4 linked regions of the Lonchura striata genome follow. The protein of the gene in region 1 purifies or fractionates together with the protein of each later gene. This does not show direct contact. Links are inferred from orthologs where the notes say so. Each region holds a gene or a part of one and is shown on either strand. Other genes may lie near its edges.

Region 1 (6,883 bases):
AAAGCAGCTATATAGTTAGGTATACATTGTATGGTAATATATATATATAAACATATATATATAACTATATATAAGGTTGTAGACCTGTATGTGCAGGACATACCTGGACATGCTCACATACACCTCAACCCAAAATGAGCAGGTGACCCCATCCCAGTGGTCTCTCATCCATCCGGGGCCCATGGTGGGACCCCAACATGTCCCTGACGCCCGCCCGGAGTCCCTGCTGTCCCCAGGCCGTGCAGGGGCTGCTCCTGCCCCAGGGACCCTTCACGCCGATGAGTTTTGTGTCACTTTAATGGCAGAAGATCACCCTGCAGTCACCCCGCGCCACCCTCCGGCACTGGCCTGCCAGCGGGAAGGGGAGCCCCAAATCAGTTCTCTGCCCCCAGAGCCCGGCTGGCAGGGCATGCTGGCAGCCGTGGTGGCACAGGTCTCTGGGATCCAGGCGTGACAGTTCGTGCCAAGGAAAGCTTTCCTGCTGTCCCCCCGTGGTGACCAGCCGTGCCAACCCCGGTCGGGAGGGTGGCAGCGGCATTCCGGTGGTGGCGGAGGCAGAGGTGCGGCAGCAGGCGTGGTGCGGTCGGAGCTCGGGGACAGCAGGAGATCCCGGGGGGCTGTGCCTTGCCGGGGGGCTCAGAGGATCACGCAGACCCTCCTGGGTCCCGCCTTGCGCTGCCTCCGGCGGGCGGCACTGATGGCGGCATGGCAGGCTCTCACAAAGATGTTCCCGACGTTATCCTGGTACCTGGCCGAGCATTCCATGTAGGACACGGCGCGGACCTGCCGGGCCATGGCCTCTCCCTGTGGGCACACACAGAGTCAGACCCCGCCACGGGACCCTGCTGTCGCACTGTCTGCTGCTGGGGACCACCCCTGTCCTGTCCCGTGCCGTGTCACTGGGAGTGACACCCACCTGCTGGCGGGAGACGGGTTGCATCCGTCCGTCCTTCAGCTTCTGCAGCACCTCCTGGTCCTGCCGCAGGTCCGTCTTGCAGCCCACCAGCAGCACCGGGACCCCCTTGCAGAAGTGGTTCACCTCCGGGTACCACTGTGGGGGGACACGTCACCCCGGGATGGGCACGTGCCACCCAGGGATGGGGACAGGGGACAGGCAGCACCCCGGGGTGGCATTACCTTTGTTAGGATGTTGTCAAAGCTGTTGGAGTCGGTGACATCAAAGCACATGAGGACAACGTTGGCGTCTGAGTAGGACAGAGGGCGAAGCCTGTCATAGTCTTCCTGTCCTGCCGGGTGGAGAAGGAAACAATTACATGCCAGCCTGGGACAGTGAAAGTGACATCTGTGGGGATGGCTGTGGGTTAACCCCCCTCTCCCATGGTCATGGGGACCCCTTGGAGGGGGAGACCCCTCCAAGGCATAACCACGAGTGTGGGGCACCCCAAAACGCCCGGATGGGAGAGTGGGGGGCACAACTGCCCGCCCTGTGCCCTCCTGTCCCACCTGCTGTGTCCCACAGGTGGATCTTCACGGGCTTGCCGTCAACCTGGAGGGACGCCGTGTACTTCTCGAACACTGTGGGGACATAGACCTGGCAGGGGACAGGGATACAGGTCACAGTGGCAGCTGTGGGGGGCAGCGACAGAGGGGACCCCAGTGGGGCAGAACAGAGCACAGGGAGAGAAATAGGGAATGGGAATGGTGCTTCCTCCCTGGGGCAGTGGGATGGGACCCACCCTCGTCCCCCATCCCAGGGCACGTGGGGATTCAGGACAGGGGTTCTGGGGTCTCTGTAGCTGCCCCCCTTCCCTGCACTCCCTGAGTCCCTTATGTGCCCTCCCGGAGGGACAAACCCTGCTCCTCCCCATGACTCCCCAAGAGAGAGAGGCGTCACAGGCCCCCATCAGCCCCAGGCTGGGCTACCCCCATGTCCCCATGTCCCACTTCAAACGGCCCCGCTGCCGCCACCGTGTCCGTCCCACCGCCCTTTGCCCGTCACCACTCCCGCACAGGGACAGTGTCACCCACCCACCAGGGGACAGGCATCCCGGTACCTTGGGGAAGTCCCCTTTGGCGAAGGCCACCAGCAGCGACGTCTTCCCGCAGCCGCCATCCCCCACGATGACAGCCTTGACCTCGGTTTCGGAGGCTCCTGCGCTCTGCTCCCCGCGCTCCCGCTGCATGGGGGCGTCCGCTGAGGCCACGGAGCCCGAGTGGCCTCGTTGGGGACAGGGATGGGGACGGGGAGGCGGGAGGCACCCGCCCGCTCCAGGGTGCGGCTGTCACCCGCCCGCCGGGCCCGCCCGCCGCGGGGCTGGGGCCGCGGCGGTGACAGTAGCCGGGACACACGTACAGGTGTCCTGGCACACGGGTGACCTTCTCCCGGCAGGGCCTCGCGGTGCAGAAGCGTCACGCTGCCACCTGCGTGTCCTGCCTGCCTGCGCGACGCTCCCTCGCACTGCTGCCCGCTGCCTCTGGCACACTCTGATCCCCATCCCGCTCCTGATGCCACTCCCCATCCCAGCCCTGCTCGTGCAGATCCCCCTGCACAGCGCAGCCCCCAGGGACGGGACCCCTGTGCCCTCCCCGACGCCCCGTTCCCGCCTCCCAGCCTGGGATTTATTGCCCTGAGCATCCGCAGGAGGCAAAGTCCAGGGGTGGAGTGAGGCACCGGTGGGGGGTGACTCACTGCCCTGGCCCCGCTGTCACTGCCACCCCTGCTGTCACACCCGTGCTGTGCCATGCTGGAGTCTCTGTCCCTGGCACCCAGCTCAGCCACACCTGCTCCTGTCTTTTCCTAGTGATCCCAACACGGGTGGGACAGGCTGTGACACACTGCCTTGCTCGGGGACATGCCATCCCAGCAGTGATGTCCCCCATGCCCCTGTTGGGATGTCCCCAAGACCCTCTCCCCTCTTCTGCCACCCCAAAACTTTGGTGGGGCTGAATGGGTGCTTCTGGTGTGGGGTTGCAGGGAGGGATGTGGGGTCGTGTGTGCGGTCCCCTGCCATTCCCCCATCTGCCACCAGCCTCTCCAGGTTCTCTCAGTGGGTACCAGCCAGTCCAGGAGGGCTCTGGAGCCCCCAGACCAACTGGAGTGAATCCAAAGTGATGGCTCAGGCAACAAATTCCAAACTCTCCCCCAGGCCTGGTGCAGGATGAATCGGAGGAGAGGGATTCTCATGCTGGGAGGCTGGGAGAAAAATGCACAGATGCAGTAATGAACAATCTCAGAAGGATGCCAGCATCGGGGCAGCATGGGGAGAGGAGGCTGGAGCAACATCAAACAATTAGGAAGGTGGCAATTACCAGTCTAATGAGATATCAGGTTGAATCCTAAAAGCATCAAGATTCTTTCAAAGTGAGATGTAACTGCTGCAGTGTTTGTCCTCTGGGTATTTGCTCGGACAAAACATTTCCTTTCCCGCAAAACAGAATTTTGACGGGAGAAGAGGCAGCCTGTGTGTAGCTGCCCAGTGCTCTCAGTGTTTGACCCGTGATTGTGCAGAAACGCCCCAAAAAGCAGCTTTATTTGGGGACAAATAGGCTGCTTGGAGCTTCTGAGGACGTGGAGACCCCAGTTTTCCGCACTGGAGAAGACCGTGGCAAGAAGCACCGGAAGGAGGGAGCTTGCCCTGCTCGGACACACCAACAGGTTGGCCCCAAAGAAAGGTAGGGGGCTGGGACCAGAGTCCAGCCCTGGGCACTGCTTGTTTCTCCCTGGATGTCCCCAAAGCCCCTCTCACCGCTCCCATAGTTGTCCTTAATCGGGATGACTGGATTGATCCAACCCTCCCTCCGCCCTTACCTCACGCCCAGCCATCCCACAGCCCCCCTGTCCCCAGCCCTGTTGTGCCACCTCACCAGGATCCCCCTCCTTGTCACATCCCACTAACCCCCCTCTGCCCTGACCCACAGCTGGGGACCACATCCCACCTTCCACCATGGAGCTGAACCAGACCTCCCCACCTCCCTCATCTCCTGTGATGGACACCGAAGGAGACGATTTCTGTGAGATCGATGTCACCGATGTGGCCATAGGTGGTGTCACACTGCTCATCTGCCTCTGTGGGCTGGCCGGGAATGGGGCTGTGCTCTGGCTCCTCGGATTCCACATCCGCAGGAACCCCATCACTGTCTACATCCTCAACCTGGCCGTCGCTGACTTCACCTTCCTGCTCTTCATGGTCCCCTCCTCCCTGCTCTACCTGCTGGAGGATGTGTCCTGCTCCACTGTCGTGTCCCTGAAGTACCTGAGGTCCCTTCTCCTGCTGTCGCTGCTCTCCTACAACATGGGGCTGTACCTGCTGACAGCCATCAGCATCGAGAGGTGTGGTTCAATCCTCTTCCCCCTCTGGTACCGCTGCCGCCGTCCCCAGCGCCTGTCATGGGTGGTGTGTGCCGTGCTCTGGGGCCTCTCCATCGCTGTCGTGGTCGTGGTGACCTCCCTGTGCCTGTCGCAGGAGCATGAGCACTGCCGGGTGGCTCTCATCTCCATGTATGCCCTCAGCTTCCTCATTTTTGCCCCACCCATGGTCATCTCTAATGTGATCCTCTTCATCAAGGTCCAGTGTGGCTCCAAGAGACGTCAGCCTAAGAGACTCTACATTGTTATCTTCCTCACGGTGCTCTTCTTCCTCATCTTTGGAGTGCCCCTCAGCCTCTGGAATTTCCTGCAGCAGCTCAGCTACACCATTGTGTCCTCCCAGGTGGTTTTCCTTCTTGCCTGCATCAACAGCAGCATCAACCCCTTCATCTACTTCTTGGTGGGGAGCTGCTGGAGGCACTGCTCCATCGTGTCCCTCCAGGTCGCCTTCCAGAGGGTCTTTGAGGAGACAGGGATCACCACAATGTCCAGATGAAAGGCCACTGTGGTCCCACCGGCTGTGCTGTCCGTGCTGGCTTCATGCTCAGCTGTCCACCCTTGCTCCCAGCCAGGCCTGCAGGTCATCTTCCTGCAGCTGTGAGTCAGGATGCATCCCATAGCTTTTCCATCCCTTTTCCCATCCCACTGATCCGTGTTGTTGTGTCTATCCCTATCCTTAACCCTCTCCCCGTCCTTATCCCTATCATTGCATCCACATCCCATCTGCATTCCCAATCCAGTCTTATCCCCAAACCATCCTCATCTCGGCTCCCCTTCCCTGTTCACTGTACCCATCCCATCCCATCCCATCCCATCCCATCCCATCCCATCCCATCCCATCCCATCCCATCCCATCCCATCCCATCCCATCCCATCCCATCCCATCCCATCCCATCCCATCCCATCCCATCCCATCCCATCCCGTCCCGTCCCGTCCCGTCCCGTCCCGTCCCGTCCCGTCCCGTCCTGTCCCGTCCCGCAGGTTTCCCAGCTGCCGGCCGCTCCGAGCGCGATCCGTCGGGCTCTGCTGCCCTCCTGTGAGAAATTTTGGGATTGCCGGCATCCGGACCCTTCCCGATCCCCTCTGACATCCCAAATTCCCCGCCCAGGGCCGCCTTCCCCCGACAGCCCGTCCCCACCCGGCAGTGTGTCCACTCCTGGCCATTCCGCGCTCCTTCTCCCCAATAAACGCTAATGGATCCATCCCGCTGTCGCCTCTCGTCCCTCTCCAAGGGAGGCTGGGGGGCGGGACACCGCGGGTGAAGCTCTGGAGGGGAATGTCCCAGGGAAACAGTCCCCAAAAACCGTATGAGGCAGTTTGGAGTGAGCAGCCCGTGGGGAGGGACTGCAGCCTCAGGCATGGGGCTGGGAGAGATGGGAAGGATGGGAGGTGGGTGGGCTGCATGGGGAGTGGGATGGGAGATTGGTGTGGGATGTGATGGAGCTGGTGGGAAGGTGTGGGATGTGGTGGGGCTGGAGAAAAGGTGTGGGATGTGGTGGGGCTGGAGAAAAGGTGTGGGATGTGGTGGGGCTGGTGACCTCAGCAAAGCCACAGGGAGCAGGGTGATGCCCCGTGGAGCCCATGGTGACAAACACAGGTGCCACCCTGCTCCTGGAAGGGGGTGGCCGTGCTGAGGACCACGGCCTCTTCCTCTCCTTGCTGCTGCACCATCGGAGCCTGCTGAGGGGGCAACTGAAAGGAGTGGAGAGGAGGAATTTCTGCAGGCTGAGAGACCTTTGCATCTGGCTCACAAAATTAAAAACTAAACATCTCTGGGGAGATCTTTGGTTTGACACTCACAGAGCACTCACAGGGAATGTTGAGCTCCTGGTCCATCCTGTCCATGCCAGCTGTGCCAGTGCCAGCCCGGCTCGGGGCACTGGGGATCAAGGTTGCTCCAGGGAGCACAAGCCATGGGTGTGTCCCTTCCTTCCAGCCACATTCCCGGCTGGCAGCAGGAGTCAGGAGAAGCCGGGAAGCGCTGGGAGAGGGGGCAAAGGATCTCGGGGTTCATGGTGCTGTTTATTGATATTAGACCTCAGTGGGATGCAGGACCCAGGTGCCAGGGGGAATGTTGGCATCACAGTGTTGGGAAGGATCCGTTTGGGGAGCAGTGCTCTAGGACCCGTGAGGGAGGGGGAATGTGCTCCCTGCAGAGCATCCCTCACACATGGTCCTTGGCACTGCCTCCTCTCCCTTCTCCTGCAGGAATACAGCACCACAGGGAAGGTGATACAGTGGCTATTTATTAATCAGGCGACTCTGCACCAAGGTCCTTCAGCAGAGCAGTAGAAGGGATCAACAGGCTGAGAAGGCTGTATCCATGGCAGGATCATTTCTGTGGGCAGTGTTTTCTTCTGGCCCCTCAAACACCCTCTGGAGGGAGAGCCGGAGGGACCCCACAGAGCAGGGCCTCCAGCACCTCCCCACCAAGAAGTAGATGAAGGGGTTGATGCTGCTGTGGATGCAGGTGAGCAGGATAACAACCTCGGAGGACACAGTGATGTAACCGAGCTGTTGCAGGAAATTGCAGAGGCTGAGGGGGAGAGCAAAGA
Region 2 (6,852 bases), on another chromosome or scaffold:
ATTAATTATTTGTGTGTGTATATGGTCAATTGTCTTTCAGAGAAATACTTTAAAGCATTGTTTTCCTTCCCAGCACAGATTCTCTCTCAACAGCCCAGTCCTACTTCCTGTCCATCAGGAAAAAGTGCCACTGATCAAGCTGCAGCCCTTAAACCCCCCTCCAGACAAACCATTACACTTCTGCAGGCCAAGCAGCACTGCACACCTTTTAGTTTCAGATGAAGAGAACAGGGAAATCAAAAACTTCCACCTTTCTATTCTAGTTTCCCTTCCCTCGGGATAATGACTTCAGTTCCTAGCCCTCTGTCACCTAGAGCCATTTTTATCACATAAAAATCATTCCTCTGGACTTCTTCCCAAGGATTTGTCTAATTTCAGCTCCTGTGCCAGGAACCTAAAATACTTTCTCCTCTGTGTGTGGCTGCACACCCTCTCCCAGCAAAGCCTTGCTCAGCACTCCCCTGACGTGTGAAATGAGTTCTGGGAGGAGGCACAGTCCTGCCAGCACACTGAGCTCCCTGAATTACACCCAACACATGACAGGGAGTGCAGGTTGATTCATCTCTGTAACTCCAATGAAACCCGATGAATTGTAAGTTACAGAGATGAACCAAGGAAATCTCCACACCCAGCTGTGAGGAACTTGGTATATGAGCTCAGTGACAACTCAGCACAGCACAAACAGCTTCCCTGCCCCAAGTCCCAAACACACCTTTATCTTGCACAGAAGAGAGCAGCGATGAGGTGCAGCTAAGAGTGCTCTCCCAGTGCCTGAAGACACTGCCAGCTCCAGAAGCAATTCCTCACTCAAATTAAAGGCAGCAAAATGTCATAGGATTACTCTCCTGTATAATGGATGAAGCTTTTCCCTGATTACAGGCTTGTTCTTCCCTTACAAACCCGTGGTAGGAATGGATAAATCTGGCTGTCCAGTCACCTCAATTGAAAGCACACCTGAATCCCACCCTTCTTACTCCTTCAAAGTAAATCTCAGTTCATGTCAGGTTTATACACCATTTTTTGCACATCATGTCCAGAGTGAAAAAAATCTGCTTTCCTATTCAACCCACTCACTCAATTATATCATCTAAGACCATTCACTTACCCCACAGAGCAAAACTATCTTTCTGAAGGCTCTAATTTGAGCAACATATCCCTGCTCTGATCCAGGGTGCTGCTGGACTGCAATCATCCACCCCCTCAAGAAACAAAAGTATACTGCTCTGAATGAAATCAAATATTAACATAATGTTCTTTTTTCCCACTCAATGGAACAATGAAAGTTTATTCTAGTGATTTTAGAATAGCTGAATAGACCATGAAGTGGAAATAGTCATCCTGTTCAATCCAATTTTGAGCTCATTTCACTTTGATTTTTCAAATTATGTGTTTCTATCAGAACAGAGTTCTCTTCTGCTAGAGCAAAATTCAAATTTATGTTCACAGCTTCCAACAGAAGCACTTCCCCGAGTGATTTTTGAATCAGTTCCCTGCAGGAATCTCCAGGCAGCCTTCTTCAGTACTTTAGCAGGAAATAGTAGAGGTACTATAAACAGACCCAAAAGTATTGTTTATACAAAGTTTATCCTATGCAAGGAAACATGAATTTGTTTCCAATAACACCATGAAACAAAACAAGACACCACATCTGCTTATCTTTTGCCAAGATACACTTCGTCACTTTTAATACAAGCACAGTTCAAGTCATTCATGAAACTGTCATCCTCTGAAACAAGGATAACTTTCAGTAACTTTTCTATGCCTCAGTGTTATATATTCACCAACTTCCCCAAACGCTAACTTCATGCTCAGCACAAGGAAAACAAACAAAACAAGAGAAAGCCCCAAACAAACAACAAGAACCCAAACTGCAGTTGTCAGGCTAATTATCTGCAAGCTCGATACTCGCTAAAAGGAACACATGGTGGGAAAACTTCAATACTCAGTTTCACCTGCATCGGGGAAAGCCCTTGCAACAGGTTAAATAAAGTTTGCAACTTTAGTAATCTCTCCCAGGAGAAGACTCGGGGTGTTTTAAGTGCCTGCTACAGTGTTGCTCTTGGAAATACAACCCAGAACTGAGCTAAATTGGGCAGATTCAACACGTGCAACTAACAAATGTAAACAATAATGGTAAACACTTTCACATTAGCTGGTTTTGCTACTGCAGCATTTATGAACTGTGATACAACCCAGTGATGCTGCCTTGAACTCCGCCTGTATTTTCACTTATCAGGTCTGCCAGTACAAAAAAAAAAAAAAAAAAAAAAAATCAAAGAGCGTATCCATAACGAACAAACTGCAGCCCTAAAAAGGATTTACTTTTAAAAACCATAAGGCACCACCCAGCTTCCTAAATAATTTTCCCATGAAGTGAGAGGTTGGCAAGCACGTGGCTGGCATCCTGACCAGCGGCGTTCTGGATTGTTCAGCCGGAGGCAGCCGCGCCCCGGCTGTGCGGCGGAGCGGGGCAGAGGTTGCGGGGCAGCGCTGGCGCTGGCGCTGTCGCTGGCGCTGTCCCTGTCGCTGTCCCTGTCGCTGTCGCTGTCGCTGTCCCTGTCGCTGTCCCTGTCCCTGGCGCTGTCCCTGTCGCTGTCGCTGTCGCCGCCCGAGCGGGGGAACCCCGCGAAGCCGCAGGGCCCGGGCACGGCAGCGCGGCCCGGCCCTCGGGGCGCTGCCTCGGCGGGAGCCCCGCAGCCCGCACGGAGCCTGCCCGCGCCCCTCGCTCCCCGCGGGGAGCGGCGCACCGCGCTCCCTCCGCCTCCGCCTCCTCCTCCCGCTGCCCGAGCCCGGCCGTCCGCCGCTCACCAGCTTGGGCTTGTTCCGGCTCTCCTCTTCCGCGGCGCGCCCGCCGCGCTTGGCGTTCATCCTGCCGGAGCTCAGCGGCTCCTCGCCGCCCGCGCCCGGAGCGCCGTGTCCGTCCATGGCTCGGCGGGGCTGTCCCCGGACCGGGCCGGGCCGAACCGAGCCGAACCGAGCGCTCACGGCCGCACCGGCCCCATGGGCCGCCCCCCCTTCAGCGCCCGCGCCCGCTCCGCCCGGGGCGGCGCCGCTGCCCCGCCGCGCACGCGCACGGCCCGCCCGAGGCACCGCGCCTGCGCGGCGGCGCGCGCCTGCGCCCCGCGCGCGGCCGCAGCAAATGGCGGAGCCCTGAGGGGCGCTCCGGGCCGCGGGGCCGTGCAGAGCATCTCCTCCTCCTGCCGCCGGCCCAGGTGTCCGCAACCCCGGCTCTCCTCGCCTTGGGCGCGCCCGGGATGCGGCGGCCTCAGCACAGCCTGCCCAGAGCACCTGCGGCCGCCCCATCCTCACAGGCGAGGATTTCTACCTCATACCGACTGGAAACTGTGAAAAATTCGTGTTTTATGATTGGCTTTTCGCAAACGTTACAATGAGTATAATATGTGTAATGTTAGAAAGTTATGCTGTATTAATTCTCTTAGTTTTAGGTTTTAAAATAATGTTAAAATAGAGACTATGTATGTGGGGGGAGCTTTTTTGGGTTTTTTTAGGAATGAGATACTCGCTTCGAAGAACACCTAAATCTTCCAGAGAAAAGGGATTTATGGTTTTCTTATCAGAAGAAGCTAATTTCTTCAGGCCTTGCTCAGACTCAAATTCACCTTGGGGATTAAAGGAAACAGTTGACATACAACAGACAGAGTTCTTGTCTTAAATAGAATGTATGCATAACCATAAAGAATATATGAACATGCAACAGGCTATTGCTTTTAAGGTTATTCCTTTGTTCACAAGTTATGCTTTTCATGACTTAAGTGTCCGAGAGCATCTGGACGTCCATAATTCTTTACTTTTTATTGTCTTGTAATTGTCCTAACTCTAAACTTTATTACTCTAATTGTATTACTACTTTTATAACCATTTTATTATTATTAAACTTTTAAAATTTTAAAAACCAATTGATTGGCGTTTTTCACAGAAACCTTTGCTCTTCCAGCTTGAAGCCATTCCCCTGTGTTCTGTCTCTACGTGCTCTTGTAAATTGTCTTTGGTGAAGGTTCCCAGCAGTTCTGGAAGGCCACTTAGAGCACCCCAGTGCTGCTTCTCTGTTCTCCTGCTCAACAGTATCGGACTCATCTACCCATGGCTTGCAGCAATGAAAAATTGCTTAAACATTTCTGTGGATTCCAGAATCCCTTCGGCTGAGCCTCGCTGTGTGAACTGAAGGACCCTCAGGATGCTCTGTATGAGCATGGACAGAGGAAAATCATGGGTCACACGTCTGGTGATTAAAGGCATCGTGTTGACAGATGTCTTCAGCTCAGTTTTTTAAAGAAAAATACAACATTTTGTGTTAGTATACCTGAATTGATACCTGCTAAATTATGTTGAGAAAGCAGTTATGAACAACGTCATGATCTGTTGTTTTGGTGTGACAAGGGCAATGCATTCAGATATAAATTTATCCATTTATTGACCTCTAAGAGAGAGTCCCAAAAGGCAAACAAGACAGAATAGTGAATTTCTGATCTCTGTCTAATACATAGTGATGCAAAGCCTGAGATTCAGGGGGCTGTCTGCATATCTTGCGACTCTCTGAGATTTACCTGAGTACTGGAGGAAATACTTACAGTTTAAATCCAGCAATGCAAACCTGCTGGTAAAATCTGACAATACCAGCTTTGAAATAAATAACAGCTCTAAAACTGGCAGGTGTCTTGAAATCAAAGTAGAATATCGGCAGCAGAAGTTAGGAGGCTATAAAATAGACCAGCTCTGTCTAGATGCTCTGTTCTAAAATTTCCTTTGAGATTCATCTCCTCCTTCCTATATAAATCCTTTTTTCATTCTGATGATTTTAACAATAATTATTTGGACATAGTTTATGATACCATCTTATACCTAAGTTGAAATTATTAAATTAATCAAGTAATCATTAACTTAAACACTTATTTGCAATGGCAGGCAATGTAATGTTATTTCCAACTACATCCATTTATAGTTTACAGGATATCATTCTACAGAAACAGTTTAGCAGTGGTTAGTTAAAAAGAAATGCTCAAATCTGTTTTTTCCTTCTTTTCAATTAGCTCTAATTACCATTTTGGGTTTTCTCTGCTGTCTCTATTTTTGTGTATTAAGCAGCACCCATATCTGGGGCATGAAGTTCAGTCAGTCCACATTCAGAGAAAAATTTCCAACAGCCTGGCATCTGTGTGCACAAATTTAAGAGTTTTTAAACCAAATTCTGTAGCACTGTTTGTTCAGCATAACTCTTAAGGGCTCAAGAACTTTTTGTCCTTAGATTTTCTACATTTGCCACAATGCTCCTCATACTGCACTTGCCAACTGTTCTTCAGTAAAACCTTTACACTAACTGACCTCAAAGATTCAGGAGAGCTGGCACAACATGCCAAAAATAATTTGTGGTGTGAGTGAGAGCAAGTGGCACGTGTGGGAAATCGAGAGAACTGAGCAAATGTAGTCAGGCCTTGAGGTAATTTAGTTTTGATGGAATAAGACTCAGATCACATTCTTGACATGAGCAAAACATGAAAAAAAGCACTGAAGGCAGGTGTGGGGACACCACACATCACTGCAAACATCACAGGGGATTTGCTGTTTCAGTGCTGGCACATTGTAATGAACGTACCCTTGTCTGAGTGATGGAGAAAAGATGTGCAAGCATCAGGCTGCAGCTGCATCATGTGCTGAAAAGTCAACCCACAGCTGCTCTTAGTTCTCCTTCCTGGGTTTGCCTGCTCTCCTGGGACAGATAGCTGCTTGCTTAACAGAGTTATTTCATTTTTTTAACTCTGATTTACAAATGCTTTGCAAGTCTCCATTTGGAGATTTCAGCTGTGGCTTAAAATTGTCTGTGTTGTACAAAACATTGCTCCAGGATTTGCTGGAGACCTGCTTTTGAAAAGCTTGCCATAGATCAAGTGTCATTAGATCCACTTCACAGCCTCCTCAGCAGAAGTTAAAGCCTCTTGGTTTGTTTTTGAAAATGTTTTTAGTCATACTGCTGCATTTTAGTGTTCTTCCCCCACCCCACTCCAGTTTCCAGGACTGAGAAGCAAATATTCCATGTATGAACTAAGGAACTTTATGACCATATGAACTCTGCAGGTACTTCCAAACAAAAGGAGTGAAGAGAAATAACGTAGCTGTCCCAATCAGGAGACATTTACAGGGAAAAGCCCCTCAACACCAAAACGAAACAAACAAAAAACCTTCCAGAAAACCACAACTCTGCCTAAGGCAGGCAGACAAACCTCATTTTGGCAGGCACTGCAATGCAGCATTTTGGCTCAACTCCGAGAGCAACAGTGTGGCCTGAGGGTGGAAACGAGTAGTTGTACAAACTGTTCTTAACTTGGCTTCATCTCTGAAGCGAATGGATTTCAGAACTATTTATTCCAAATATCATTTCACAACACTGCAAACGTGTAACTCCAAAAAGCTGCTGCTCTGTAGGTGCTGACATTTCTCCTTCTGTGTAATCTCAGTCCCATTCAGTCACACAAGCACAGCAGCTCACAGAGATCACACAATTACCTGACAGCAAAATGATCAGACACTGATAAGCATGAGGCATTCTGAGCATCCCCAAAACGTGCATCATTTTCTGTCTGAGCTGATGAAACCCGCCTTTGAGGATGGCTGGCTATCGTAAATGCAGGCGAACCCAATGGGAAGAAATGAGGATGTCTGACTCAATTCAGAAGGCTGAATGATTTCTTTATTATAACTGTGCTAAAATACATTAATATACTATATAAAAGGAGGATACTAAAACTACATAATACTTTCTCTGACTCTAACTCTCACCCAACTTGTGACCAGAGTCCAGCCTCAGGTGGGTTGGATTGGCCATCAGGCTCAAACAAT
Region 3 (7,742 bases), about 49 Mb from region 1:
ACAGCAGTGGCAGCTTTCTGAAGCCAAGTTAAGATATTTAATTACCAGCATCAAGTCAGAAACCAAAGCGTCCAACAAAATCCTCATTTGTGAGCGAAGGCTGCAGAAATGCTGTTCAGCAGGCTTTGGCAATCTGCAAAGCTGACAGCTGGATGCCCTGGCTTATCGGCTGCTAGAGCACACGCGGAAAAAAGCTCTGAATAGTTGCAGTGCCGAGCGAGCCTTCCAGGCAGCCCCGCCAGCCTCTTAAAAAGGCTCACAGAAATAGGCAGGCTTCATTTTATTAATACTTCAGAGATAAAAGTGGCCGTGTAGGAGCAGCTCAGTGGGTGTCTGTGCAGGAGGAGGATGGGCAGACCACTCACTCTGGGTGGTACATCTGTCAGGATCCCCACACAACCCGTTCAGGTTGTAAATGCACCACTGTGCAACCTGGGCACGTGGTGGGCTGCTCCAAGTGCATCCCCCTTTAGGGATGGACCCAGCAGGGATGGTCATGCATGGAAACTTGAAAGCAGGAAGATGGAGCAAGAGGAGCTATGCTGCTGGCTGGCTGACAAACAAAATTTGTGGGAAGCCCAGCTGCCCCACAGCTCCATGTCCCCACTGCCTTGGGCTCCTCAGCTGTGACATGACAGCGCGGGAAAACTGGAGGAAGGAACCAAAACAAAGCACAGAAGCAAAGGGAGATAATCACAATCCAGTTAGACCAGCTGTCCCCTGGTCTGGCCTGTCCTCACCGTTCCTGCTCCCTCTTGCACCCCTGCCACAAACAAAGGGTCAGATAAGGAGCCAGCTCAGGTCAAGACCGGTTTGACTCCGTTTCAAGCCCAGGGGAGCGGATTCAGCGCTGATTTTACACCTCACCCATCCTGTTTGCCTCCCCGGGGCAGAGGCCAGTACATAGAGCAGGGTGCACGCCTGGCTGGCTGGACCCAAAAATCCCAGGGCCGTGTCAGGGCAGCACCGGCAGAGCCACACACCAGCTGAGCGCTGGCCAGAGCCAGGAAGTGTCACTGCTTCCTCCTGTCCCGGTGTCACACCACACTGGGCGGTCAGAGATCGCGGACTTTGGCTTTTGCTTCCTGCTCCTGACAGAGCAGGGCAGGTCCCAGCATATGGCCATGGGGAGAGCAGGGTGAGTCACTCATTAATCCAGGAACAGCAAGGTGGATGTCTGACCTGCGGGTTTGGGGGGAAACGCACGCCAAAACAAACTCCAGTGCTCGTGGAAAGAGGTCCAGATGCTGCAGGACACATCTACTCCTAATGGGACTCAAAGAGGGGCAGGCAGGGAATGCCAATAGCTTTGGAATACATTGGTTTTGGTTTTTGGCAAGGGAGGATAATGAGGTTGCACTACGGTTGACCACTGAGGCATTAATACACACCAGCACTTGATTTTGTACACAGTATCAGAATCAACCTCTAGAGAGGGAGAAAAGAAAACCAATGGCTTCTCCTTCTCCATGCAGCCAGGAGAAGCTGCCTGGCTGTACAATGCCGGGCATCTGCAGTGCTCAGGCCTGGTCAAAACCACAAGGACAGCCTGTGCCATGGACTGCCCTCTCCCCAGCACCTGCAAAAGGAGACTTGGCTGCACCCCATGATCTTCCACCTGCCTCCGATTTCCACGGGGAGCCCCTTGCCCCCAGTTTGGCAAGCACAGCCCTGTCGGTTCACGTGGCTTTTGACACATTATTGTCACATTATCATCTGTCTGTGCCTTAAATTAACCTTGATCACTTAAAGATGCAGAAAGACTGTTTCACACCAGCACCAATGCAAGAGGCAGCGTGGTGTGAAAGCCATGAGGGTTGCAGACCCCAGGGACCAAACCCCACTGGTCACACTGAAGACTACATGCCAAGTAAAACACCAGGATCCGACCACAGCCACAGCACAGCAATGGCAGCCAACCCTCAAGGCTCCATGCAGCAGGAGCATTGTCCCTCCTCCAGGGAGACCCCTGACCAGAATCTTCCCTCCCAGAATTTCTGGGCGGGTGCAGCCAGTGACAGACCGGACCTCCTCACCTGGTGCCTGAGCCATACACATGCTTGTAGCCAAGCCATAGCCCAACACCGGCACATGCCAAAATCCTACTCCCACATCAAAGCATCGGCCGGACAAGAGCACGCCTGCAGCAAAATGTGTGACACCAGCACCAGAGGCTTGGCACACACAGATGATGGGGCAGCCCCGAACAGCCGTGCCTGTGGGGAGGCACTCACGAAGCTGAGATTCCCCAAAGCCCGCGGGAGCCCCACCAGGGGGGTCACACCGGTGGTGTGGGAGTCGCCGCAGGGGTGGGAGCCGCCGTGCCAGCCGGCGCCGGGGATGCAGCAGCCTCCGGAGGCGTTGCCATGGAGAAGGCAGCGCAGCAGCAGCATCCCGCATCCCACGCCCCCGCCTGGGCGCCCCCTGCCCGGCGCCCACGGGGCTGGGCACCGCCCGGGACCCGCCGTGCTCCGGGGGACCCGCCGTGCTCCGGGGGACCCGCCGTGCTCCGGGGGACACGCCGTGCTCCGGGGGACCCGCCGTGCTCCGGGGCGCCGGCAGCGGAGCGGGCTCCGCGGGGCCCGGGCGCTCCCCCCGGGGCAACAGCTCCACGCAGCGCCCGGGGCGGGGTGGGACGCGGGCTCGCCTCCCTCCCCACGGCGAGGAAAAGGCAGAAAAGCGCCGGCTCCCGGTGCTCCCGAACCCCTCCGCAGCACGGCCGCGGGCTACGGGAGAAGGGCAACACACTCCGCCGAAAGCCCCGCAAAGCGAAAGGGAGGAGCGCCGAGGGGCTCGGAGCACTCACCGCAGCGCGGCCGCCGTTCCTGCCGGGGCGGAGAGCTGTGTGCCCGCTGCCCGCCGTTCCTGCCGGGGCGGAGGGCTCTGTGCCCGCCGTTCCTGCCGGGGCGGAGGGCTCGCTGCCCGCTGCCCGCCGTTCCTGCCGGGGCGGAGGGCTCTGTGCCCGCCGTTCCTGCCGGGGCGGAGGGCTCGCTGCCCGCCCGCCGTACCTGCCGGCGCGGCGCTGCGCTGCGCGGCGCGGAGCCCGCCCGGCCCCTGCCCACAATGGGCCGCGCCCGCCCCGCCCGGCGCGCTGGCGTCAGCGCCCGCCCGCCGCCGGGACTCGCGGTGACGCGCGGGGCGGGGGCTCCGCCACCGGCGGTGCCCTGCCGGGGGTACCGCCCCGGCGGCGCTACCGGCGGTACAGCACCGAGGGTACGGTGCTGGGGGTGCCGCAAAGGCTGTACGGCACCGGCGGTACCGCGCCGAGGGCACCGCTCCAAGGACACCGCAGCGGGACGCTCCGCGCTGCCCGTGCTGCAGAGCAGGCGGGGGGCAGGCGGGAGGGTCCCGCTCCCGCCGAGCGGCGAGGATAAAGTTTCAGCCGGCTGGCGACACGGACACGCGGGATCTGTGTCGCAGCTGCCTGGCAGAGGCCTCCCAAGATGCGGCAGTCTCCGCTTGGATTTAAGAAATCAATTTTCCAGAGGTTCCCATTTCACGTGAATCAGAGCAGCAATTGGATACACGGTTGGATTCCCACATGCATGGGAATAACCTCGCTGTATGAGATGGAAGAAGGAGCAGTTAGTGTTCTTGGTGCAAATCAAAACTCAGATCAAATTAATAGCGTGGAACATTTTACCTTAAGTAAACTTTTTTCTTTTTTTTTTTTTTTTTTTTGGAGAAGAAGTCAAGCTATTTACATCTTGAATATTTTTTTTTTTTCTTTCTTGGCAACAACTATATGGGAAGGTCTGAAAAGCAGGAAGAGATTTACTGTGATTGTGTTTCATATGGAGTCTGCACAAAAATTGATGCAGGGACAAAGGAGAAGCCAGTGTTGGGAAAGTAAAGAAAGCATCCATAGAGTTGATACCAAAATGTGGTGTAAAATTAACAGAATCACAGAACGGCTTGGGTTGGAAGGGACCTTCAAGATCATATTGTTCCAACCCTCCTGTCATGGTCAGGGACACCTTCCACTATACCAGGTTCTCCTTGGCCTTTTCCATTTGTGCCTTAGCTTTCCTGACCCCATCCTTAAACATCAAAATCATATCCCTGTACTCTTCCTAGGTCACCTGTCCCTGCTTCCATTGGCTGAGCATTTGCTTCTCACTCCTCAATTTGAGGAGCAGGTCTCTGCTCAGCCACGCTGGTCTCCAGCCTGCCTTGCTTGATTTCTTGCCCTTTGGGTGTTGAAGCAATCACAGAAGCAGTTTTGGGATAAAAGGTGTCAAGGGCAGGTTATCTGGAGCAGCAAATGCAATGATGGTGTTGTGAAACTGGTGGGACAAGAGGACAAATATCTGTACCCAGGCACAAGTTTTGGCAAGAGGAATTATAACTCACAAAATCTACCACAGTCCTTGATGGAGCCAAATATGTGGTAGATCTAATGGATATAAGAGATATTGATTTCTTAAAGGCTCTGACAAAATCCTTCATCAAAACATACTGAGGGGAGTAAGGAGCCATGAAAAAAACCTCAGTGGTTTATAGGCAGAAACCACAAAGGCCAGACTGGGATGGTCAGTCTGCACTGGAGCTATGAGGTGGGGAGTTTCACAGAGCTCTGAGCAGGGGGCCTGTGCTCAGCATCTTCATCAGTGATGTAGGAGTAGGGGACATGGTGGTGGTGGCTTCTGGTGACACTGAGCTGCTTGGAAAGGCCCAAGGCACCAAACCACAGCGGGACCTCGGGACGTGCAGTGACAAAATGACAAATTAAATTCTCCGGAGACAAATGTAAGTGATGAGCCTCACAGGGAGCACTCCTAACATCATGCACATGGCAACAGGCTCTGAACTGACTGCAACCCCTCAGGAAAAGGATCCCAGGTTATAACAAGGAATTTGTTGAAAGCATCAGCTCACTGCTGAGCAGCAGTCAAGAAAGCAAATAGACAGATAGGAGTTAATGAGGTAAGAGGAAAAACTGCTGTACAAATTCCTGGTTTGCTCTCCTCTTGAATACTGTGAGCAGCTTTGGCCTCTGTTCTCACCAAAGAACTAGTGATCAAAGATAGGGAGCATTTTTCGCTGAGGTAAAGGGTTAGGCCAGGACTATTCAATCCAGTATTTCTATACAAGCCTCAGGCTCAGGAAGTCCTGGAGCTGCATGCAGCCTGCTGTGGACTTGGAGAGTTTATGGGAAAATATCCCTGAACACTTCTCATACCCCTGGCTTATCATACACCATTGGCTATGAGAGGATGCTGAGCAGAATGGTCCCTGCCTCCATCCCAGCACAGCTTTTCTTTTGCCCTTCCATTCATCTTATTTTTCTCCATAAAATGCCTTCCCAGGACCCCCCTTCTCCCACTCTTTTCCTCCTCAAGGACTTTCATTAACCACATAGTGATGGTTTGATCTGCAAGGCTCCCAGCCTGGCTAAGTATCAGCTTAATGGTTGGCATCTGGAATTGCATCTTCCTCATCAAAACTGCTCAGCCATTTTCTTGTAGCTGCCTCCTCAGAGCTTGTTTGGATGCCGCTTATCAAGCCCCATTGTGTTGCTTTCCTGCTTGTTTTTCCAACAGCCGCCTATTAAATTAAGCTCCTCTATTCAGACAGGAAAACCCAATAACCAGCTGCCCATAGCCTTTCTGGATAAGTAGGACACATGCAATAGTCATCGTGTAAGACTGATGAGCATCCAGCCCTGAAAAGGGGAGAGCATGGGTACCAAGCCTGCTTGGAAAATAATCCTTGTAACAGGAGGGGGTTAGCAGGGTTTGCTCCTTGGATGAAAAACTAAACCAGGACTTTCTCAGAGCTGAGGGAAAGAAAATGGGTTTCTTGTTCTAAATCTGTAAGAATATACTTGGTAGCCTTCATCTTTAGATGCTCACTAGACCCTAATAAATGTTCTCTGCGACCAATCCATGTCAGATCAATACTGTCCTTATCTCTGGGGAGGAGTTTTTATGTGTTCCAGTGAAACCTAAAAGGACACTTGATTCAGCTGACAGTAATGGAATATGGAACCCATCCCCTTACAAAAATTAAGTAAAATTGATTTTGGAGGGAAAAAAGCCCTCTCGAGGTTATAGTCTTTCACGTTGCACAGATTATATGCTCAGCAGAAATAGAGGCCACAGCTTTTATTTAATCGTTGTTCTGATCTAAACCAAACACTTGCACCAAAAGAACAAAATCACCATCTGAGCCCCTAAAACCATCCCAGACCACTGGAGCTTGTGGGAATATTTCCATCACAGCAATCAGGGCTGGTTTTGGCTCAAAGGTAGGAGACAGCATTATGCTTTTTGTTGCTTGATATGAGGTTTTTAGAGTACATAGAAGACCTTTAGCAGTTCTGTATCTGGGCTGGGATGTTCTGTGTGGAAACAAACCACACCCTAAACCAATGTTATCTCCAACAGCACCGAGCCCAATCTCACCCCAGGGTTCACATCAGCTCCCTGCAGCTGGCAGGGGAGGCAAAGCTTTGGTATAACATTTCATAGCCCCAGAAGGGAAAATAGACACATTCCCAAAGCAGGACTCAGCGGGCTGGGAGCATTAGCAAAGACTCAGTGGATTTAGGCCCTGATTTTGCAAAGTCCTTAAGCTTGTAAGGAATTTGTAATTTGCTTGTAAGCAAATTCCCATCCGCTTCAGTGGCATTTAATCACATGCACATAAGTGCTTTATGGTGTACCAGGGAGCTGTACCTTGGTGGAGGTGGGGATATTGGGAGCCCAAGCAACCAAATTCTTTCCCAGTGTGTTCAGAGAAGGGTAAAATAATGGAATCATATTACAGAATCATAGAATGGTTTGGGTTGGAAGGGATCATAAAGATAATCTAGTTCCAGCACCCCTGTTATGGGCAAGGACATTTTCCACTAGACCAAGTTGCTCAGTGCCCACCCAGCTGGTCTTTCTAAGAAATATAAAATGTAAGACATAATTGGAGAGCAGATTTTGAGAGCTACTGTAAGCAGTTATAACAAGGTCTTGCTCCAGCCCTGCCCTGTCTAAACCTACTCTGCTGGGAGATGCTGGGAGAGCACAGCCTCTCCTGGCTGCTTCACCTGAAAGATCTCCATGCCCTGTGGGAAAGAGATGGCTCAGATGAGTGGCAGAGAGATATAAAGCACTTGTAAGTGTGCTGGGGTGTAGGAAGCTTTAAATTATCTCTGTAGCTTGGTCAGGGCCTTCCACCCCACCCCTCTCTGTGCTCCTGTCCTTGCCTTCATCCCCTCTGCACTGGTCCCTGCAACTGCCAGAAGCCCTCGTGCTTCCCTTGCCATCCATCCTCCTGCCTGTCTCCTGTGAGATGCTGCACGTGCAGCCATGCTCTGGTTTGGATCATCTTGCTGGTACCTGGCGTGTCTTTGGCAGACTCCTGACACTCAGCTCCTGATTGCTGAAGCCAAGGGTCAATCTTCCTCCCTGGAATGTCCTGCCAGTGCCAGGCTTCACCCACAGCCTTGTGCCAGCCTCAGATGCTGGGTTTGGAGGAACATGTATTGTTCAGGGTGGCTGGAGGGCTCTATCTCTTCTCCCCTAGACTCTCTCATGGCTAGAAAACAAGCCATTCCTGATTAGGGATCTGTAACTTTGCCCAGGTCTTTTTTCTCCTCCCTATTCCTAGAGATGACTTGCACTGAATTGCTGTGAAAGGTACCGAACAATCAACAATAATACAAAAAAAAAAACCAAAAAAAAAACCACAAAAAACAACCCAAAAAAACCAGAGCAAATTCTCAATGGATGAAATCTCAGCACCCT
Region 4 (7,948 bases), on another chromosome or scaffold:
GTCCGGTTTATATACATACAGATGTGTGTGTATGTGTGTTTGTGAAGGGCTTATTTAAACAACAAAAGAAGGGAATGAAATGGCAAGGCCTTTTCTATTTCTTATTTGTTGTTAATATTTTATATTAATTCTCATTTTACCTACTTTTGAAATACCAATAAACTTCCTGATGGAAAATCTTAAAAATTTTAATTATTATAAGTTTTTTTAAATTGAAATGTCTTCAAAAATTCAAGATCACTTTAAAAAATGCAAGCATTGCCTATATGAACCTCTTCATTAACCAAGGATCTCTTATCAGGCTCACACACAGCCAGGTGCAACCAGGGCAATGTCAGAACATCTAGTCTTGACTGCAAGGGCTGATACTTGTAATAGTTATGCATATGCATACAGCTACTGCACATATCCATATAAGGCTTTCTCTGGATTCCACCTGGAAATTGTATCCAGAGCACCTGCTGCTTTTTTATCTCATACCTTTGTGCAACAATTTATATCTATAAAAAGTATATGTAAAACTAAAAGAAAAATTTTGACGAGGTAGAATTTTGCACAGGAGTAAACAAATGTATCAAGTGAGTGTTGGTTAAGAAATACCAAAACCCACTTGCTCTGGGTGGATCAAATATTTTCTAGCATCAAAGGAAAAAAAAAACATGAAGGGAATTGCACAGTTAACCTTAGCTAATTTCACCCCTAAACATTTTTTTTTCTGGATTGTTGGAAAATGGACACTGAGAAATCCATCAAGCAAAGAATAACCCCAGATATTTACAAATTGATCTGCCATGTGAGCTTGGTGCAAAGGGCATGAAAATCAGGCTGTGCACAGTGACATTTCACAAATCTAATAATAACACCTTAGATTTATCTGGCATTTTTATACAGAAAAAGTAGATCCCATGGTGATTTATGGACTGTAAAAATATAAATATGTATATTTGGGTTTTTTCAGTCACTAGGAGAAGATGCAATGCCCTCTCCAAACCAGAGACATCAAATGGAGAGTGAAAAATCCTTACAGATGCTCTGTTTATATCTTTGCCATGAGACTAAACCCATTCAGGTAGTATCCTAGTTCTTGTGGTTTTTTGCTTTCCCATTATTGATAAAAATTTCTTACAAAGGATGGTGGCAGCAGGAGTGCTAGGGCAGGCTGAATCTCAATGGTTGCCCAGTACAGCTGATGAATTGCTGCTTAATGAAGAATATTTTTTTCCCCCTTTCTTCCCCCTCACCCGTCAGAAGAGAGTTGAGACATGGGACATCCCCAAGCAGGATGTAATTTCCGTGCAATTTTGAAAATTGCACAGAAAGTGCAATTTCCAAAACTTTAGAAAGGATTTTATGTTCTTTTTTAGCTGTTTTGGTTGCTCCCAGGTTATCTCCATGACCACAGGGCAACAGCCTTCCTTCCTAAAGACTGATAATCAATCATCTGACTCTTTATCTGCCCATCAGCCCCTCATAAAAATGTCAGAACACATTGGCTAGCTGCAAACAAATGAATAAAAGAGGTAGGAACCTCAAAGATAATTAAGTTCCTAGGGATTTGTGAGCATCAGCGACTAGAGGCTCAAATTAGTGTTCCAGCAGGGAGAGGTGAAGGCGGAGCGGGGCCGCTCGGGGCGGTGCTCGGCAGCAGCCGCGGCCCGGCGCGGCGCGGCGCGGGCAGCACGCGGCGCTCCGGACCGCAGAGAGGAGCGCTTCACCTCGGACACGGAACACAAACGGGAGACCAGCCCATCGCAGCGGGTGGGTCAGCGACGAGACCACAGGAAACCTGGCTTCATTAGCTCTGTTGATCATGGAACAAGGTGTTTTTTAATGATAGCAGCTGAAAATTCCGCTCTTTTCCACAGGCCTTGAAGGTCTCAGCAGTAGGAACGATTCCATCTATGGCTGCATCTTGGAAAAGATTCAGAACCGACGGCACAAAGAAGAGAAGCAGGCAGGGAAGAGGCACAGGTGTCACCTTCAGTGCAAAAGAAAATAACATGCAGAAAAAAAAAAAAGAAAAAAATCATGAGGATACACGTAACAACAAATGGGTGATAACAAAGAAAGGAGAGACAGACGGGATGCAGAAGAAGGAAATAAAGAGGAAATTGAAATCTAGACTAGAGTTCTATTCAAACACAGCTCTGTCATCTGTGTCCTGAAGCTGGAGAGGGAGGGAACAAAGCATTCTGCCCTGAGTCACACCCTGTGCATGTGCATGACTGCAGTGAAGATCCCCAGGAGTCTGGGAAGCTGTTAATCATTCAGTCCTTTACTTGTTGCCCTTCTCTAAGCATCTCCGCATTTAGGATTTGATGTGACCTCTTTTCTTCTTTTTCTTTTTTGTTGGATAATGCTAAGGGAGGGAATCAATCTTTCAGTCACAAATAGCAGGTTTTGATGTGCAGCTGTTTATCTAGGTTCACTGGAGAATATCTCCCTGTATCCCTTCTCCATGGGTCAGAAGGATGGTGTGCTGGTTGCAAGAAAAGGAAGTGCAGAAGACCATCTTTGCAAGTGGACCAAGTGCTGAATTCAGCATGGACTTCACTAACCATAGTGCTGTGGTGCACATTTTTGTCCCAGCTGGCAGAAGTGCAAGTCAATATGCCACACTGCTGCTTAGGACATCCAAATGTGCCTGGCAGAACAGCAGCTTATGGAGGGTTAGCAAAGAAGATGGCTATCCTGGGGTGGGATGCTGTGTGGCCACCTCAAGATCTAGATCAGTTTCATAATCCCGGTCACACTTGCAAGGTCAGGTGCACAGCAAGGGATTGTTAGGAGCTGCCCTTCCTTTGAATTAAAAAAAAAAAATAAAAATTGTCAGGAGGCCAGAGCAACAGGAGCTGAACAGGAGCAGGAGGAAACTATTCTGGCGAGAAGATGTGTTGTGAGCTGGGAGGGGGGCAAGGCTTAGATTTAACTTGGCTACAGTCACCTTGAGACAGCAAAAGTGTGGCAAGTACAGTCCTGGTCAGTGGTCATCAGATGGAGCAGATGTGGGGTTTTCCCCAGAGTAGGGAAAGCAGATCATTAGGTTTGGAGCAGGCAGGGTAGGGGGAGGAGTGACAGAGACCCCAGCAAAAGGCCCTGGGGCAGAGCATGATGGAAGGCAGAGATTCACTGCCCTGGGCACAAAGAGAGCTGCCAGGCTGGTAATTCCAGGGCATTCTGCCAAAACTTAGGGTACAATCTGGCCAGAAGCCCAGATGTTGTGAAAGCAGCCTGGAAAGTCAGGTGTTACCAAGCCCATTAGCAGCCTGTGAGTTTCTCCTTACTGGATTCCTCACAAGAATTGCAGGACATGACTAATTCACTTTTCCTAGGGAAGTCCCATCTCCCTCTTCAGATTCCCTCTCTCCTTTCCAGTAAGTGAAGAGGTACAGAAGGGGAATCCAGACCTTCTGAAACACTAGACCTGTTCTTTCTTATCTTGCAGTGACTAAGCCCAGTCAGGTGAAGAGCAGGAAGGAAGCCAATAAAAAAGGACAAGGGCCTTCTGGTGGAGGTTAGCACAATAACTGGGCCAGACTGGCAAAATTCACCCAGCACAGCCTGCCTCCCCTGTGCAAGCCCAAAGGGAAAACCCCACAAAATTCTATGGCATGTTTGAATAGTCCCAACCCACTGTTAAGTCTGCAGTGGCACTTTGCACAGACAGGGTCTGAAAGCCACTTTTAACATCTCTTCCAAAAGTGCAACTATTCTTGCCCAGGGTTTTGGAGCTGTTTTTTATTTATTTTGTATCTCTTGCTGTTTTGAGATGCAAAGGTAACTTTTCAGCAACTTCCTGTTTGGGAAGCACGGCGTATAGACCGGCTGTCTCCTGGTGTTTTAGTAGGGAGCACAACGCACACAGCATTTAATGAAGCTGCACTCAAAGTGCCAAGAGCAGTAAATTCATTTCTCCTTGAAACATTGCTGGTCCACATTTCACTGATGGAAAGTTACAAAGTATAAACATCCTGACCAAAGCTTACCTGAGCCATTCTTCTAAGACATCCCTCCTTTCAATAGATTGTCTCTACATTAGCTATAGTTGAGACAAATTTAACATCTGAACGTGCAGATGATGATGCTATAGCACAGTGATGCTGCGTTCACAACAGGTGGGAAGTGAGCTCTGCAGTAACTGTTGATCTGTTTCTGGGGGAAGGCATGAAAACTTTGCACACAGGCTTTTTAGTAGAGTGCTTGAGCAGAGAGAGAACGTGCAGAAATTGTTTTTGCAGAGGATTTACCTATAGGGATAAACCCTAGAGTACTTCGAGTTCAGTAAAAGTGATGCCAGTGACATATTCTGGGCCCCTCATCGATAAGGGTGTACAAGAAGGGAGGAAGCCACTGGGTGCTCAGAGACTCTGCTCGGGGGATAAGGGATGGGAATTACAATGTGCCTTCGTGTTCAGGAGCGTCCCCAGAACACCACCGGGATCCGACAGGTCCCGCAAGGCTGTTAGGTACAGAGCAGCAGGCAGCCCCTTTCCCAGCGGTACCGCCGTCCCGCCGGAGAGCGCCGCGGAGGCCGAGCGCCGACCCCGGCCGCGGGCAGAGGCTGCCCAGAGGCAGTTCCCGGCCGTCCCGCCGCTCCCCGCTGTTCACCCCGAGGGCCCCCGGGCGGCCGGGGCTCGGTGCCCCCGGCGCTGGAGCTGCAGCTCCCGGCCTGGCCCCGGTCCCCCGTTGGGGCTCGGAGCCCCCCCGGTTCTCCGGGAGCATTCGGCCCCGCTTCGCCGAGCTGGCCTCTGCCTGGCTGGCGGGCAAAACAAAGCGGAGACAGGGAAAGGAAAACGGGGAGAAAGTGCGGCTCCTGCCGCCTCCCAGCCTTCTGCCTGGATCTCCCTGCATGAGACAGCGCTGCAAGCGGATCCTGACCGGGGGCAGGGGGTGGAGAGAGGAGAAGGAGGAGGACGGACAGAGGGAGGGAGGGAGAAAGAGAGGGAGGGAGGGAGAAAGGGAGGGAGGGAAGGAGGGACGAACGGGAGCCTCTCTCCTTCCCTGGGCTGTTTTTTTCAGTTTCCTGTCTCGCATTGTGCTCACAGCGGATATGTGCTGCGCCTACAGGTGTGTCCCCTCCTCGCAGCTTTTCCCCGGCTCCCAAGCGTAGGCTCTGGCTGTCGGGGCGCGGCGGCGGATCGTGACCGCCGTGTGATGATTATTTCTCTCGGGGCGGTTTCTCTCTCCTCTCGCTCTCTGCTTCCCCCTCCCTCGCTCCCCGCCGCTCTCGTCCTTCCTCTCGGAGGTGGCCGCAGCCGCTGCCGCCTTCGCGCTGACTCCGGCCGCGGTGGCGGCGGCGGCGGGGCCCGCCGGGAGCATGGGCGGCCGCCGGGGGCTGCCGTAGCGCCTCTGTCCAGCCCACCGCCGCCCGCCGGGGGCTGCCGGGGCCGCGGCTGCCGCTCGGGCAGCTCGGACGGTCCGCGCCCGCGGCTGCCTCCCGCCGGCGCCTGCACCTGTTGAAGGTAACGCAGCCCCAGCCCTGCCGCCGCGCCGCGGGATGGGGCGGGGAGGGGGGGAGGCGGATTCCACGGAGACTTCCCTCTGTCTCCCCCAGCTCGGGAGCTGCTGAGTTGTGGCTAGAGCAGCTTCTCTCCTCCTCGGCTGCGGGGCCAGGGCCGGGGATAAGCTGAGAGCTGGGGCGGATGGGGCTTTCTACCGCGCTGCCCGCGACCAGATGGTTTTGGTTAAAGGGGCTCCCGGGCGGCGGCTCTGGACTCGGAGCGCCTTTCTCAGCCGCCGTGCAGGGCGGGGAGGTGGGGGAGGCGCGGGGAATCTGCTCCTCCCGGCCGGCAGCCGGGGAGCGCCGGTGTCCGGCGAGCTCCCTCCGCCCCACTCGATGGAGCCTGGCTGCTCTTCCCGGGAGTTTCGCAACCCCGAAGCGGCCGGGGTCAGCAGCCCCGATGTCGCGGCTGGCACTGGCCCGGCGCCCACCCCGCGCTCCGCCTGGGCGCTGCCGACTCGGGAACTCGTTTGGGATTTTCCTGCAAACGCATTTTGTCTCTTCGCAGAGGCAGCTTTAAACTTTCTTTCCAAACTGTTAATTAGATACACTGTACTTTGCTCATGTTCCGTGGAGGCGAATGGGAGTGCGAGGCTGGAAAGGCTTGTGACTCAAGGCATAGTTATTCGGGAGGTGCAGAACATCTTTGCGTGCTGCGTTCAGATGGGCTGTACCTGTAATTTGTGACTTTGCCTTCTCCGAGATTTCGTCGGTCTTGGTGACATCGGGAGGCAGAAGGGATAGTTAACACTTTGGGTCCTTTCGAGGTTAATCAGACACTCGGTTGAATATACAAAGGAGGAAGTGTATCTTTATCTCCTCTCTGATGGAAAATAATATTGCTTTTCTCTATGAGTAACAACACTATGGTCCTGTCTTTATTGCTGAGCTCGTCATCAAATGATAACTTGCTCGTAAAGGAACTTACGCTTTTGGAATGAAGGCTGTTACCTTGAATGTGATGATGAGCTTATTGAACACCAGAGGGAACTCTGAATAGGTAATTCATTCGAGGGAGATATATGCTTATTTTACTGTTTATGTTCTCATTACAATGGAATCTAGGAGGAAGTAAAGGTTGGTAAGTAATGAGCTGCTGGTATGTACCTAGGATTGACTTCAGTTTTCTTAACAGTTCTTTTCAGAAGACATCGATTCTAAATCTGGCCTGAAAAAAAATCTTCTTTTTTTCTTTCTTTCTTCCTTTCTTTTTTTTTTTTTTTTTTTTTTTTTCCCTCCAAAGCTTAAAATGTGCAACTGGTCTTGCAACAACTATGTACCATGCTATATGCAAATCAGCTGGGAGACCTGTTCACTATTTGCTAGGGAGTGAGATTATACATGCATGTTGGGCTGATGCTTAATGCCCTGCCTGCCTCTCAGGTTGTGAGACAGATCCAACACACCTGGGTACAGGGGCTGCTGCCTACAGTCGATATACAAGAATAGAATATGCTTCCAGCCAAAACAAAAGGGAGGAAGGAAGGAAGTCTACTTCCAAGTAGCCTGTCTTGTCCTCCTTACCTAGAACACTTGTGGATCTAAAGCCTAGTCTGATTGCCTGTGAAGTAGAAAATAGTCTTTCTTAAAAGATATGACTTTAACAAATACAGAAATGAAATGGTGTCAGTGTTTAGGAAAGGAGTTTGAATGGTGGCTTCTGGTACCAAAAGCTGTTTAAATCATTTGAGATTATTGTAAGAAGCTATGGTCAACCTATCAAAATGTGTTTTGTAGTAACATGAACCCCAAAAATTTGCAATTGGCTATTGAGACTTTGGATGCTTGTGATAGTCTGTTACAACAATGTTGATAAACAGTCTTCTTTGATACTCCTGAATTGTCAAAGACATGGGAAGGATAGCACAATGAATACACTTTTGACTCTGACATTTGCTCCAGAAGCTGATGCATTCAGCTGTTCATCCTGTCCCTTTGCCAGAGGTTAGTCGGCCATTCAGGGTTATTTTCTATTTAACTTTGAATCTGAGTTTACAGACAGGCATATGAATGTCAACTATATTTTATGGCTATTCATATTAGTGTTGTGAAGTCTGATAACACAAATCTCCTGTATATCTCTCTGTTGTGACAGAGGGACAAAGCAAACACTTGAGGTCAGTTGAATTGAGCTGCAGTTGTGAAGCATAGTCCATAGGCATCTAAATTCTTCTGAAATAGCAGGTGTGAGCCCAGTGACCTTCCTTGTACCAGACCTTGGTGGGCAGTGGTAGTGGGGAGGCAGCTCTGCATAAGGAGAGGCTGTGTGACCTCCGTTGGTTGGTGAGCAGCACACAAGGTTCTGGGTTTCAGAAGGATGTAGTAGATGGTGTACCTGAACAGCCCTCTCTTCCTCTCCTTCTTCCAGTCTAGCAATCAGAAAGTGATCCAAGTTTTTTTGTTGATTTATCAAAGTCTTTCTTTGTTTATCTGACTTGAGGACTTGTT

The links.
Region 2: the proteins of RHOD (region 1) and DIAPH2 purify together in Homo sapiens (co-immunoprecipitation; 3 studies listed by BioGRID and IntAct, with this or other methods). This does not show direct contact. The link is inferred for Lonchura striata from reciprocal best matches to the Homo sapiens genes RHOD and DIAPH2.
Region 3: the proteins of RHOD (region 1) and DAAM1 purify together in Homo sapiens (affinity purification with mass spectrometry; 3 studies listed by BioGRID and IntAct, counting the BioPlex papers as one, with this or other methods). This does not show direct contact. The link is inferred for Lonchura striata from reciprocal best matches to the Homo sapiens genes RHOD and DAAM1.
Region 4: the proteins of RHOD (region 1) and PLXNB2 purify together in Homo sapiens (affinity purification with mass spectrometry; 3 studies listed by BioGRID and IntAct, counting the BioPlex papers as one, with this or other methods). This does not show direct contact. The link is inferred for Lonchura striata from reciprocal best matches to the Homo sapiens genes RHOD and PLXNB2.

What each region holds. Positions count from the first base shown.
Region 1 is NC_134608.1:53,914,326-53,921,208, forward strand, and holds RHOD (rho-related GTP-binding protein RhoD), read right to left. Parts: upstream 2,145-6,883; coding exon 2,016-2,144; intron 1,553-2,015; coding exon 1,465-1,552; intron 1,248-1,464; coding exon 1,138-1,247; intron 1,052-1,137; coding exon 917-1,051; intron 805-916; coding exon 637-804; 3' UTR 518-636; downstream 1-517. Other genes in the region: GPR152 (putative G-protein coupled receptor 152), read left to right, coding at 3,906-4,823; mas-related G-protein coupled receptor member H-like, read right to left, coding at 6,627-6,883. UniProt on the Homo sapiens protein: Involved in endosome dynamics. May coordinate membrane transport with the function of the cytoskeleton. Involved in the internalization and trafficking of activated tyrosine kinase receptors such as PDGFRB.
Region 2 is NC_134616.1:1,747,140-1,753,991, forward strand, and holds the start of DIAPH2 (protein diaphanous homolog 2), read right to left. Parts: upstream 3,008-6,852; 5' UTR 2,926-3,007; coding exon 2,809-2,925; intron 1-2,808. UniProt on the Homo sapiens protein: Could be involved in oogenesis. Involved in the regulation of endosome dynamics.
Region 3 is NC_134608.1:5,141,527-5,149,268, reverse strand, and holds the start of DAAM1 (disheveled-associated activator of morphogenesis 1), read right to left. Parts: upstream 3,017-7,742; 5' UTR 2,807-3,016; intron 1-2,806. UniProt on the Homo sapiens protein: Binds to disheveled (Dvl) and Rho, and mediates Wnt-induced Dvl-Rho complex formation. May play a role as a scaffolding protein to recruit Rho-GDP and Rho-GEF, thereby enhancing Rho-GTP formation. Can direct nucleation and elongation of new actin filaments.
Region 4 is NC_134607.1:30,343,413-30,351,360, reverse strand, and holds the start of PLXNB2 (plexin-B2), read left to right. Parts: upstream 1-4,945; 5' UTR 4,946-5,067; intron 5,068-5,378; exon of another isoform or gene 5,379-5,462; intron 5,463-7,948.